3 linked regions of the Sus scrofa genome follow. The main gene of each other region encodes a partner of the protein of the gene in region 3 in a complex. Links are inferred from orthologs where the notes say so. Each region holds a gene or a part of one and is shown on either strand. Other genes may lie near its edges. The genes, in order: USP46, USP12 and WDR20.

Region 1 (3,646 bases), on a different chromosome or scaffold from region 3:
GTTTTCATTTTAGCATGTGTGAAAAATTCTACAGTGAATGTCTCAGCTCCAGGTTTTCCCAAAGCGTTGGCTCTGTGGTTGGTTGAAAACCAGTGAGATGGTGTCTTCCCTTGTTACTTATGATCTTGAGTATCCATGGCTTTTGAGAGGGGCAGAGTCTTACGGGGTGAGCCCCAGTCAGATTGCACAAGACCGGGACCTGAGTGGTATTATGGTGGGACAGCTGCCTCCTTGGCAGAAACAAGATTGCTCTGGAGAAAGTGAAGAAAGTCTGAGACCAAGGGCAGGTGTGCTAGAATCTTGAAAGAGAGAAACCAAAACAATCCCCTTGCACTTCAGGCAGTTTTAGCTGAGCAAGTGGTTTCTAGAACCTGGATTTCTTTCTGATTGGGCTTTTAATTTTCCCTGTCGTAGGAGTTTTGGTGTGTGGCAGTGTGACGTCTTTTGTGGAGCCAGCTACTTTTCTGAGGCTCCACAGGAAGTCAGTTTTTTCTTCCTCAGAGCCTCTCTTTTTAAGCACCGGAAGTTCTCATTAGGTTATTTAAAAATCAAGGCCAAGGGCTTCTGATCGTCTTAAAGGCTTTTATGGGCTGGAGTGCGAACAGGCTTGAACAGGCTTGTGGTGATTGGATAATTGCTGGTGTTCAGAGTGGCTTACTGGTCTTAGAACGTGGTGAGCAACTCTGCAATGTGTGTGCTGAATCTGGGCCGGTTCAGAGGGTGGCCCTCTTCCCACCCATCACCCCATCCAGAGGTGGCACGGCCCTGGACCCTGATGGGAACTCTCTTTGCTGTCCTTTGGCAGTTCGGAAACACCTGCTACTGTAACTCTGTGCTTCAGGCCTTGTACTTCTGCCGGCCTTTCCGGGAGAATGTGCTGGCATACAAGGCCCAGCAAAAAAAGAAGGAAAACTTGTTGACGTGCCTGGCAGACCTTTTCCACAGCATCGCCACGCAGAAGAAGAAAGTCGGCGTGATCCCACCAAAGAAGTTCATTTCGCGGCTGAGAAAAGAAAATGGTGAGTTAGCCTGGGGACAGATGTGTTTCAGGCTCTGAAAAGGGGAATCGATAGTTCTGTGTCGCCTCAAAATGAATCTTTTTTTTTTTTTTTTTTTTGTAATGGGAGTTTGCTTGTGTCACAGCTGGTTAAGGATCCGGTGTTGTCACTGCGGCAGGGTCACAGCTGTGGCTTGGGTTGATCCCTGGCCCAGGAATTTCCACATGCTGCAGGTGCAGCCAAAAAAAAAAAAAACCAACACCAACAACCAAAACCATACAAAACTGAATAAAAGTACTTAAAAACTTGAATTTGTCATTCCATTTTGGAGTGATCTTTTTAATTGCTCATTGTTGGGAGGAGTTTTTTCTGGATAGGATCTTGTAAGAGGAGAGATCGCCCAAGGCAGGACACTGATTGAAATAAATAGATTGATAACAATAATTGAATCAAATCGTACTGTCTTATAAACTTGTCATAAATGATTAAAGTAAATGCATATTATCTAATCAGAGCCTCTGCGCTGTTTTAAAAATAATCCTCCTGATTTTTATTCGCCAAGACATTTGAAAGATATCACATTGATATTTTTCCATGATAAAAATGTCTGGCTGATTTTCTTCTTCCTTTTTTTGTCTTTTTAGGGCCTCACCCTCAGCATATGGGAGTTCCCAGGCGAGGGGTCCAGTGGGAGCTGCAGCTTCTGGCCCACGCCACAGCCACAGCAACACGGGATCCAAGCCTCGTCTGCAATCCACACCACAGCTTGAGGCAATGCCAGATCCCTAACCCACTGAGTGAGGCCAGGGATTGAACCCACATCCCCATGGATACCAGTGGGGTTTGTTTCTGCTGAGCCACAAGGAAATCTCCTTTTTTTGTTTTTTGTTTTAAATCTTCTTTTTGGAAGAGGTAGTGGTGGAGACCAGGTTATTCCAAAAATTCTGCCTGGGTAATTTTGTGACTATAGAATATGTGCTATGGCAACTTGTGCTTCCCCCAGGATTTCAACCTCACTTGCAACAGACTTGCACAATCAGATGTTTGTGTTATAAAGTCTCATGGAACTTGATTGCTGTCTTTTGAAGTTGTTGTAGTTTATACAGACCAGAATAAAACTAATCTGAGAGGGAAGCAGAGCCCCCTCCCAAGTCTCCTTGTCAACATGATTAATAATGAAGTTTCATAGCTGCATCCATCTCTTGCTTGTCCTTAGGGCGAGCAACAGCCACCGGCTCCTGGAATCTTTTGTATTTGGTTTCAGAGCGCTATCGGATAGGTACAGTCTCATGTGTACAGCCCTCATCTCCCTTATGTGCTGCATTGAAGCCGCTTCCAGGCTGGTTCAGGGTTTAATACAATCTTTGGGAAGAGACCCTGTTGCTCTGGATAAAGTACAAAGTGAATAATTAATCATTGGTGGTCACCTCATATTCAATATTGATATTTTATCAGGGAGCTTATCAAGTAATTCCTGTTATTTTTCTTTCTGTAAAACAAAAAAGCTTTGGTAGCTTCGTATATGTATACACGGTATACACACACACACATATATATGTATACAATGGCTTTAAGAAGATATGGGAAATTTAGTTCTTGGTGGATGGTAGGTGAAAAATGGAAAAAGAACAAAAATTTTCTAAAAACTAATCCATTGAAGTTGCACAATAGAGATGAATATATGCCATACCTCTCTCCTCTTTCAATATAAAAGCTGAAGTGTGGTTTTTTACAATTAAGCACTGTCTTTGCCTTTTAAGAACCAGAGGTTGAAATAATGGCCTTCTCCCTTCCAGATCTCTTTGATAACTACATGCAGCAGGATGCTCACGAGTTTCTAAATTATTTGCTAAACACTATTGCGGACATCCTGCAGGAAGAGAAGAAGCAGGAGAAACAAAATGGGAAATTAAAAAATGGCAACATGAACGAACCTGCGGAGAATAATAAACCAGAACTCACCTGGGTCCATGAGATCTTTCAGGGAACGCTCACCAATGAGACTCGATGCTTGAACTGTGAAACTGTAAGCATCAGGAGGGCTTTCGTGTGAGCTGCTTGTGCGTGTTTGTAACAGCTGCGTTGTGCGTGAATGCAGGGTGGTGTCGTGAGTGCAGGGCGGTGTTGTAGCCCCCGCAGTTGTCTCAAATACCTGCACATCGTCTATTTATGTGTGTGCACCTCAGATGCAGACTTTTGGAAGCATGCCTCCAGCCAAGATGTTTCAGCCACCTCAAGTAGAGTGAGGAGGGAAAAATCGCAAAAACTAGATTGCTTTGCATCACGGGCTGTTTTGAGGGTCTAAAAATTCGACCATTGAACTGGACCTCCACCACTTAGCTTGAAAAGATTTTGGCCATGAGGCGGTCCCTCTCCCCCACATAAGGGGAATCAGCCATGGTAGGATGAACTTGAAATGGAAAGACAAGCTTGACCTCGGATTCTCCAGCAGTTTGCTGGGTGTTCAGGACCAGTCCCTTATAGCACTGCGGTAAAGACTGGGTGACTTTGTGTCTGGGCGAGTCTGGCACATGGCAGGCGCCTAGTGTTAGTCGAATTTGAAAATATTTTCCAGACAGTGATTCAGGATCATGTATATTTAACTCTTTGAGTGGCCTCATAATGTAGTGAAAAGCCCAGCTCTAGAG
Region 2 (3,646 bases), on a different chromosome or scaffold from region 3:
AGCCACCTCGTGTCCGGGATTTTGACCACAGCGGCTCTAACTAAGAGAGAACACGTACAATCCACTATTCAACAAGGTCAAGAAAAACGTCCTGTTACATGGAAAGGGAAACAGTGGGTACTCACATTCTACGTTTCATGTTTCTGACGTGGAACGTTTTCTGAAACACTCATCGCCCCGAAAGGACAGCATGTTCGGTTACCGTGTACAGCTGACCCTTGAACAAGGAGCAGGGACTCCCCACAGAGACCCAATCCCCTGTACCCGTGGTCCCTGGTCCCGGTCCCGCGTCTGTGCTTGTGAGCCAGTGCAGAGGGCGGAGTTCTGCGGGATCTACTAAGGAGCAGACCCCAGACGCCCGGCCCACGCGAGTCAGACCACGCCGTTCAAGGGTCAACTTACACAAACTTTCTGCCAGGACAAACGTTTTTAAGTTTCTTACTAATACGGGCAAAAAGACGTGAATCACTCAGTCCACATTCTAACCGAGTTGTACTTGGCTCTTTTAAAACAGAAGATACTATGCAGGCCCGTAGTTTACATCAGTGTTTAGTTTTAATCAGGGAAACACAACAGAGATGTGTGTTTTGTGAGCAGTTAATCAACTGCTCTATATTTTTATATAGAAAAGGTGAAGAAAATCTTTAACACGGGATCAGATTCAAGAATAATCATCTATGGCCCCACCACTGCAGCGTCTCTGTGCGCTTCAGGAGGTTAGATACGACCCCGCTTAATCATGTGACGATGAACAGGTCAGCGGAGCCGAGGGCAGGACGCCCCACTGGTGTGTTTACCAACCAACCTTAAAGACGTCTCAAGTCATATGTCCGCAGACACCACCGCATTTTTTTTCATTTTTTCAAGTTTTATTGAAGCACAGTTGATTTAAATGTTGTGACCACTTCTGCTGCACAACAGAGTGAGTCAGGGTGTCCGCGTCCAGCTGGCTCGCTCTGTTGTGCAGCAGAAACGGCCAAGCACTGGGATCCCTGTAGCTGACAGCTAACAAACTAAACCACCCCCCGACTTTATTTCTACAGGGGTGGAAATGCCTACATCCAACAGAACGGAACCCAGAACCCTACGTGTCCCCTAGACCCCTCTGAACTCGGGCAGCAGAGCCCAGCGGACGGCTGTGCTCCACCCTCAGGACCAGGACGGAGCCGAGCTCGCCACCGTCTCTGAGCACCAGTGATGCACGTGAAGGGAGGGAGCCGATGTCTAAGGTGCGGGCCGGCCGTGGAAACGGAAGGAAAAGCATCTTAAGAGAAAAGGGAAGTGGGGTGTAATCAGTAACTGTTTAAATTTATTTACTTTTATTTTTTTATTTTTTTGGTCTTTTTGCCTTTTCTAGGGCCGCACCTGAGGCATCTGGAGGTTCCCAGGCTAGGGGTCGAATTGGAGCCATAGGTGCCGGCCTACACCACAGCCCCACGGGATCCGAGCCACGTCTGTGACCTACACCACAGCTCATGGCAACGCCAGATCCTTAACCCACTGAGGGAGGCCAGGGAGTGAACCTGCAACCTCATGGTTCCTAGTCGGATTCGTTAACCACTGCGCCTCAACGGGAACGCCAGTAACTACTTTTAAAGGGAGGAGGACGGGGTAAAACCGCCTACCCTAGGCCGGGACGTTCAGTTTAATTTACTGTTGGCTTTTTCTCGTCCCTGGGGTGTGACTCCTGACGAGTCCCTTAGCGTCTGTTTTTTTCACGCCAAAACGGGGCAGTAACATGCTCCCCAGATCCCGTTACTGTCAGGACCACATGAGGTAACACACACGAAAGCGAGATGAAAGCCACAAATGTACAATAACTGGGCCCCAAACCAAACTTTTCTCGAGAGGAGAAGCCTGGCAGGCCAAACGCGATGCCAGGCTTCCTCGCTTGCTGGCACACAGACCCAGATCTCGGAACAGCGCTCAGCCCTCCCCGAACCGGCACCTCCTCGGACACGGGAAGGCTCCCGCATCCCCGCCCGGCCCCCCGGCCCGCGAGCAACGCGGCACGCAGCCCATTACCATTCTCCTTCCGTAACCGCGTTATGAACTTCTTGGGCGGGATGACCCCAACCTTCTTCTTCTGCGTGGCGATGCTGTGGAAGAGGTCGGCCAGGCACGTGAGGAGGCTCTCCTTCTTCCGGGGCTGGCTCTTGTAGGCGAGAACTTTCTCCCGGAACGGACGGCAGAAATAAAGTGCTTGGAGGACGGAGTTGCAGTAGCAGGTGTTCCCGAACTGGGGTGGAAAAGACACGGTTTGTGAAAAGGGGGAACGCGCAGTCCCGAGAACAAATGCGCACGTGGGTGGCGGAGAGAAGAGCGGGGGGCCTCATGATCCCCGTGAACTGAAACTGCCTCGGCCGCTGCGACATTCAGCGGACGCTCCTGGCATCCGCTTCCGGTCTTGCGGTTACAATGGAAGCAAACACATGCAGTAAGCTTGGCCTTAACGAAAACAGATTCAAGGAACCCGGCAGTTTGGGGCGTTCCTGCCGTGGTGTAGTGGGATGAGGATCCAGTGTTGCTGCAGCTGTGGTGTAGGCGCAGCTGCAGCTGGGATCTGGTCCAGGAACTTCCAAAAGAGAAAGGGGAAAAAGAGAGAAAAGGAAACACACAAAAAACCATACAGTTTAAACCGTGAGAATAGGTAATCTTTAGGATCCTGGAGAATTTTTCTTTTTCAATTCCCATCGTTAGTATCAATTATATACAAAGCACTTGATATACTATATATTTTAAAATATAACTCTCAGAGTTCCTGTTGTGGCTAAACAGTAACGAACCCAACTAGTATCCACGAGGATGTGGGTTCGATCCCTGACCTCACTCAGTGGGTTAAGGATCCGGTGTTGCTGTGAGCTGTGGTGTAGGTTGCAGAGGAAGCTTGGATCTGGTGTGGCTGTGACTGTGGTGTAGGCCGGCAGCTGTAGCTCCGATGAAACCCCTAGCCTGGGATCTTCCATACGCCATGGGTGAGACCCTAAAAGTAAATAAATAAATAAAAATAAATCTAACTCTCAAAAAAATTCTTTCCCACATAAGTGAGGTTTACTGTCAGGTTCCTCAGTGGCATCCAAAAAATGAACAAAAAGGAGAGACAAGGAAAAACAAGACCCTCTGAAACATGAACTGAAAAAGCACCAGTGCCAAAGCATATCCACCAGGGACGCGCTGAAATGGCAGGTCAGACTACTCTTGATCTATGGGAAAGACGTGGACTCAGCTCCTGAGCTCAGTCCTGAACCACAACCTCTGTCTTACTGGCCATGTGACCTGGAGAAGGTCCATACCACTCACGGAGCCTCAACTCCCTGCTCTTTAATAACAGGAGGAAACACTCCTGCCTTACAAAGAAAATAACACATAATTGATAAATATGTTCTGCCTTCATTTTCCCTTACCATCAACAGAAACTGGCTCCCAATGCCAACTAATAAAACACCTAAAAGTCAGTCACTGAAGCTGTGGGGAGCGCCTGGAAATTGTGAAAAAAAGGAATGAGGACGGTTCTCACAGTCCTGCCAGGGACAGGATCCGTAAACATTAACCCTAGAAGGCCACAGAGAGGAGTTCCTGTTGCGGCTCAGCGGAAATGAATCCAACTAGTAACCATGAGGACGCAGGTTTGATTCCTGGCCTCGCT
Region 3 (3,646 bases):
TGGAAAGCTGAAGGTGGGGGCGGCGGCGAAGATGGACGCCGACTTTGGTCAACACATTTCAGAGCTGTTTTTTTTTTTTTTTTTTGGTCTTTTTGTCTTTTTAGGGCCGCATCCACGGCATATGGAGAGTCCCAGGCTAGGGATCGAATCGGAGCTGTAGCTGCCGGCCTACAGCACAGCCACAGCAACGCAGGATTCGAGCCACACTGTGACCACAGCTCACAGCAACGCCGGATCCTTAACCCACTGAGCGAGGCCAGGGATTGAACCTGTGTCCTCATGGATCCTTGTCAGATTCACTTCTGCTGAGCCACAAGGGCAACTCCTCGAGCTTCTTTCTTAAGGACACGATACCATCCCCCTCTCGCCTCTCCTACCCTGCTCCCACCCCCAGACCCCCCCAGGTTAGTCTCCCCAGCAGACACTGACGGCCAGAAGGAACCAGAAAGAGCCCAGTCGCCCAAGCGCCAGTTCCGCGGGCCACACGCAAGGCTCTTCTGCCAGCAGTGTGATGAGCTGAAAGGTCATGCTTGACAGGCTCTCCTCCAAAGGCTACTTACCTGGGATCCGATCGCCACTTCCGCTTAGGCCAAATACAAAGTCCTGAATTTTGAAACTGCATACTCAATGCCTCAGAAGCATTTGAAACGGAATTTCTGAAACTATGTGGGTACATACGGCTGCACGTGGCGTGTCGGTCCCTAACCTCTGCATCTGACAGCCAATTTATTAGCCTTCGCAGTTCAAAGAGCCCACAGGGATGGCTGGCTTTGCCACCCTAGGGTGGTTAACGTTTAGGAACAAAGGACCATACCTTCCAGGTTACAGGACGCCAACAGTCCCACGGACCGTGACGCGTACCCAGGGGGACATGCAGCTGGAAGGACACTGCCACTGCTGCCACAGGTAACAGAGGCCACCTGCGTCACGGGCAGGTGGACACGTGTGCAGCGGGGCATGGCGGGGGGAGCTGGCCCGGCCTTCCCCGGGGAGGGGGGCGGTGGGTGGGCGCGCTCTGGCTGCTGGAGGAGCACAGCGCTTCTGCTCCATCAGCCACCCTCACCCTGCAGAGAAGCCAGGGTCTCCAGGCCGGCACTTGGCTGAACTGCGTTTACGACTCACACCAAGGTAAGTGATCAGGCTGGCTATGTTTAATCGCCAAGGCGGGTGCAACAGAAAAACAAACCGAAGTGACCAAAATAATAAGATCCGCATCATCCTGACTTAAAACACACAGCTCAAAGCGCCATCTCATCCATCGTCTCAACTGGAATCGGAAAGAAAACCCCGCCCACAGCTAGGAGGGATCTTGAGGACTCAGTCAAACACAGCAGTTTCCCCTGGAGGCGGAAGCCTCCGGAAGCAGCCAGTCTGAGCAGAGGGCGGCCCTGGCACCAGCAGCCACAGACCCCAGGCAGGGGAGGCGCTTGGGGTGGGAGCCCCCGACCCAGAGGCCCGGGGCATCCCGGGAATGATCACAGCTCGTGAACCACGACTAACCTGACCACAAGAAAAGGAGCAACCTGCACCGGCCCTTCCCCTCCGGCGGGAACACAAAACCCAAACCAGGGAAAAGCTGCAAGTTCTCTGCACCCTGGGGGCCTAGGAGTCTTCACACCACAAAGCCGAGGAGTCTGAAGGGCCTCCGGTCATGTGCCTTTTGACCAAAAAACCACAAAAACTCACAAGAGTCCCTCCCCCCGAACCCAAAAGAAAACAGAACCTCCTTCCCCTTGCTGGAGAAAACATAAGCAAATTGCATTCGACATAAAAGATCTTGGCTTATGTGTCAAGAGGCACTTCTGCCAACGCTGCTGGCGCCCTCAGCCCGCAGTTCATGGTAACTGGCCAGGCTCGTGGATATTTTATTTAGTGCACAGAATCTCAATCAAAGTGCTACAAACTGCTTCTTTGAAAAAAGATGTTTATTAAACAATTTTAATTGTCATAAAATGACTAAAATGGGTTTTAAAAATTAAGGCTCTTCTCTTTCTGTGGATTGCCAGACAATGTAAAAATAATATCAATCAACCCTGCTGAACGCTTTGTTCCTAAAGTTAAATTTCATAGATTCCTACACATTTTATGATTAAGATAAAAAAGGGGACTTCTTATAAATGACAGTTAATGGCCGCCCGTAGTGAACACACGCTCTGATCAGGTGTACAATATTCTAATTGAGTGCTTGAGCAAAAATATTCCAGTTGAAGCAGAAATTTTAATTTTAGCATTTTTAAAGTCACTGTTTCCCCACACTGTCATGATTTTCCTAAAATCGAAATCGTCTAATACAGGAACGCTAGCCTGGGGACGCTATATACTCCCAGGAGGGTGACTGACTTGGCTGGCAATTAGTTTGATTATATTTTTTAAACGTTCTAAGGTGAATTATCAAATGATTCGGAATTACATGGCATGCAGTATCCAAAATTATGGCTCTGATGCATTGAGATTTACATTAAGAAGAAGTGTCATTCACAGTCATTGTACACCCCGCCCCTCCCGCAAGAAAAAAATCACTACCTATTCAAGTTCTAGATCTGGTGCAGCATTAAGGGTTAAAACTTACCACTTTACCAGGCCTTCCCCATGTGCAAATAAATCCCTCCTGACAAGCAGTGACTATACAGTCTTCAAGAAAAATCAATACCGTCAGTCTTTCGTGGGCTATCTTTTTACAGATGAGCGGCTCTAACAAGGGAACGTCTTCCATCCGAGGGCACAGGGCCGTGCCCAGAGTTTTAGCTGGGTCCGTTCTGGCTTTCGTGACCAGGTTCAGTTTGTCGCTGCTCTTGCTAGAGATGTGTCCCATGCTGTGGTTTCGCTTGTGGTCTTTCTCGTGGTGCCTGTCCTTGCGCTCGTGCAGGGAGAGCGTGGCGAACTTGCTGACCCCGGACGCCACGGCCCCGTCGGCGACGCTGCTCTTGCTGCCCGCGCCGGACACGGCCGAGTGCGGGAGGCTGTTGGACCGCGGCAGGGGCGGCGGCGCCGCGTTGCCCGGCGTCGAGACACTGTTCCCGGCGCTGCCGACGGGGGGGCTCGTGGCGTTCATGACGTTGGTGTGTGTCCTCGCTCTCGAGAGGGGCTGGTGGGGGAAGAGGATGTCCTCCGTGAGGTCCCAGAGGCAGAGCTGCGTGTCCTGGCCCACGGAGCCGAAGCGGTAGGTGACGCTGACGGGGCGGCTCTCGGTCGAGTTCCGCTTGGACAGCCGGGACTGGGTGCTGTTGGCGCGGTCTCGGCCGAAGTGCAGAAGGTCTTGGAAGTCCTCGTCGCTGCCACTCAGCTCCAGAGGGTCGCTCTCCTCCACGCTGGTGGTGTAGGGGTCGAAGGCCACCACGCTGACCCAGGACTTGTGCCCGTGGCCCCGCGCTATCACCCGGCGGTCTCCAAAAGACCAGACCGTCACCAGGTCGTCCTCGCCGCCCGTCACAATGTACTTGCCGTCGGGGCTCCAGCACACGCACAGCAAGCCTCCAAAGTAGCTTTTCATGGTGCCGTGCAGCTCCACCGAGTCAAAGTTGAACACCCGCAGGAAGCCGTCCTGGCTCACGCACGCCAAGAACTTGCCATCTGGGGAGAAAGCAAACTCGTTGAGGGCCCCCTCGCCCACCGTCCACTTAAGGAGAGGGTTCCTCGTGGATTTGCT

Evidence for each region.
Region 1: the proteins of WDR20 (region 3) and USP46 are in contact, whole or in part, in a crystal structure (PDB 6JLQ), measured with the Homo sapiens proteins. The link is inferred for Sus scrofa from reciprocal best matches to the Homo sapiens genes WDR20 and USP46. Residues at the interface, in NP_653175.2 of Homo sapiens: Asn41, Ser42, Gly44, Arg151, Lys259, Tyr261, Phe262, Gly263, Glu282, Asp283, Asp284, Leu285, His301, Lys304, Ser305, Trp306, Gln374, Asp375, Thr376, Leu509, Arg516, Met517, His533, Glu534, Arg535; in NP_073743.2 of Homo sapiens: Asn205, Thr206, Ser207, Thr209, His210, Arg213, Arg273, Val275, Phe276, Pro277, Glu279, Leu280, Arg281, Phe283, Asp293, Met295, Gln338, Glu342, Tyr344, Thr347, Ser348.
Region 2: the proteins of WDR20 (region 3) and USP12 are in contact, whole or in part, in a crystal structure (PDB 5K1C), measured with the Homo sapiens proteins. The link is inferred for Sus scrofa from reciprocal best matches to the Homo sapiens genes WDR20 and USP12. Residues at the interface, in NP_653175.2 of Homo sapiens: Asn41, Ser42, Gly44, Ser45, Arg151, Ser170, Lys259, Ser260, Tyr261, Phe262, Gly263, Glu282, Asp283, Asp284, Leu285, His301, Lys304, Ser305, Trp306, Gln374, Asp375, Thr376, Arg516, Met517, His533, Glu534, Arg535; in NP_872294.2 of Homo sapiens: Glu207, Asn209, Thr210, Ser211, Thr213, His214, Arg217, Arg277, Val279, Phe280, Pro281, Leu282, Glu283, Leu284, Arg285, Phe287, Asp297, Met299, Gln342, Glu345, Tyr348, Thr351, Ser352.

What each region holds. Positions count from the first base shown.
Region 1 is NC_010450.4:39,547,354-39,550,999, reverse strand, and holds part of USP46 (ubiquitin carboxyl-terminal hydrolase 46), read left to right. Parts: intron 1-805; coding exon 806-1,019; intron 1,020-2,794; coding exon 2,795-3,024; intron 3,025-3,646. UniProt on the Homo sapiens protein: Deubiquitinating enzyme that plays a role in behavior, possibly by regulating GABA action. May act by mediating the deubiquitination of GAD1/GAD67.
Region 2 is NC_010453.5:4,637,786-4,641,431, forward strand, and holds part of USP12 (ubiquitin carboxyl-terminal hydrolase 12), read right to left. Parts: intron 2,240-3,646; coding exon 2,026-2,239; intron 1-2,025. UniProt on the Homo sapiens protein: Deubiquitinating enzyme that plays various roles in the regulation of the immune response and inflammation.
Region 3 is NW_018084979.1:1,033,829-1,037,474, reverse strand, and holds part of WDR20 (WD repeat-containing protein 20), read right to left. Parts: coding exon 2,570-3,646; exon of another isoform or gene 1-2,569. UniProt on the Homo sapiens protein: Regulator of deubiquitinating complexes. Activates deubiquitinating activity of complexes containing USP12. Anchors at the base of the ubiquitin-contacting loop of USP12 and remotely modulates the catalytic center of the enzyme.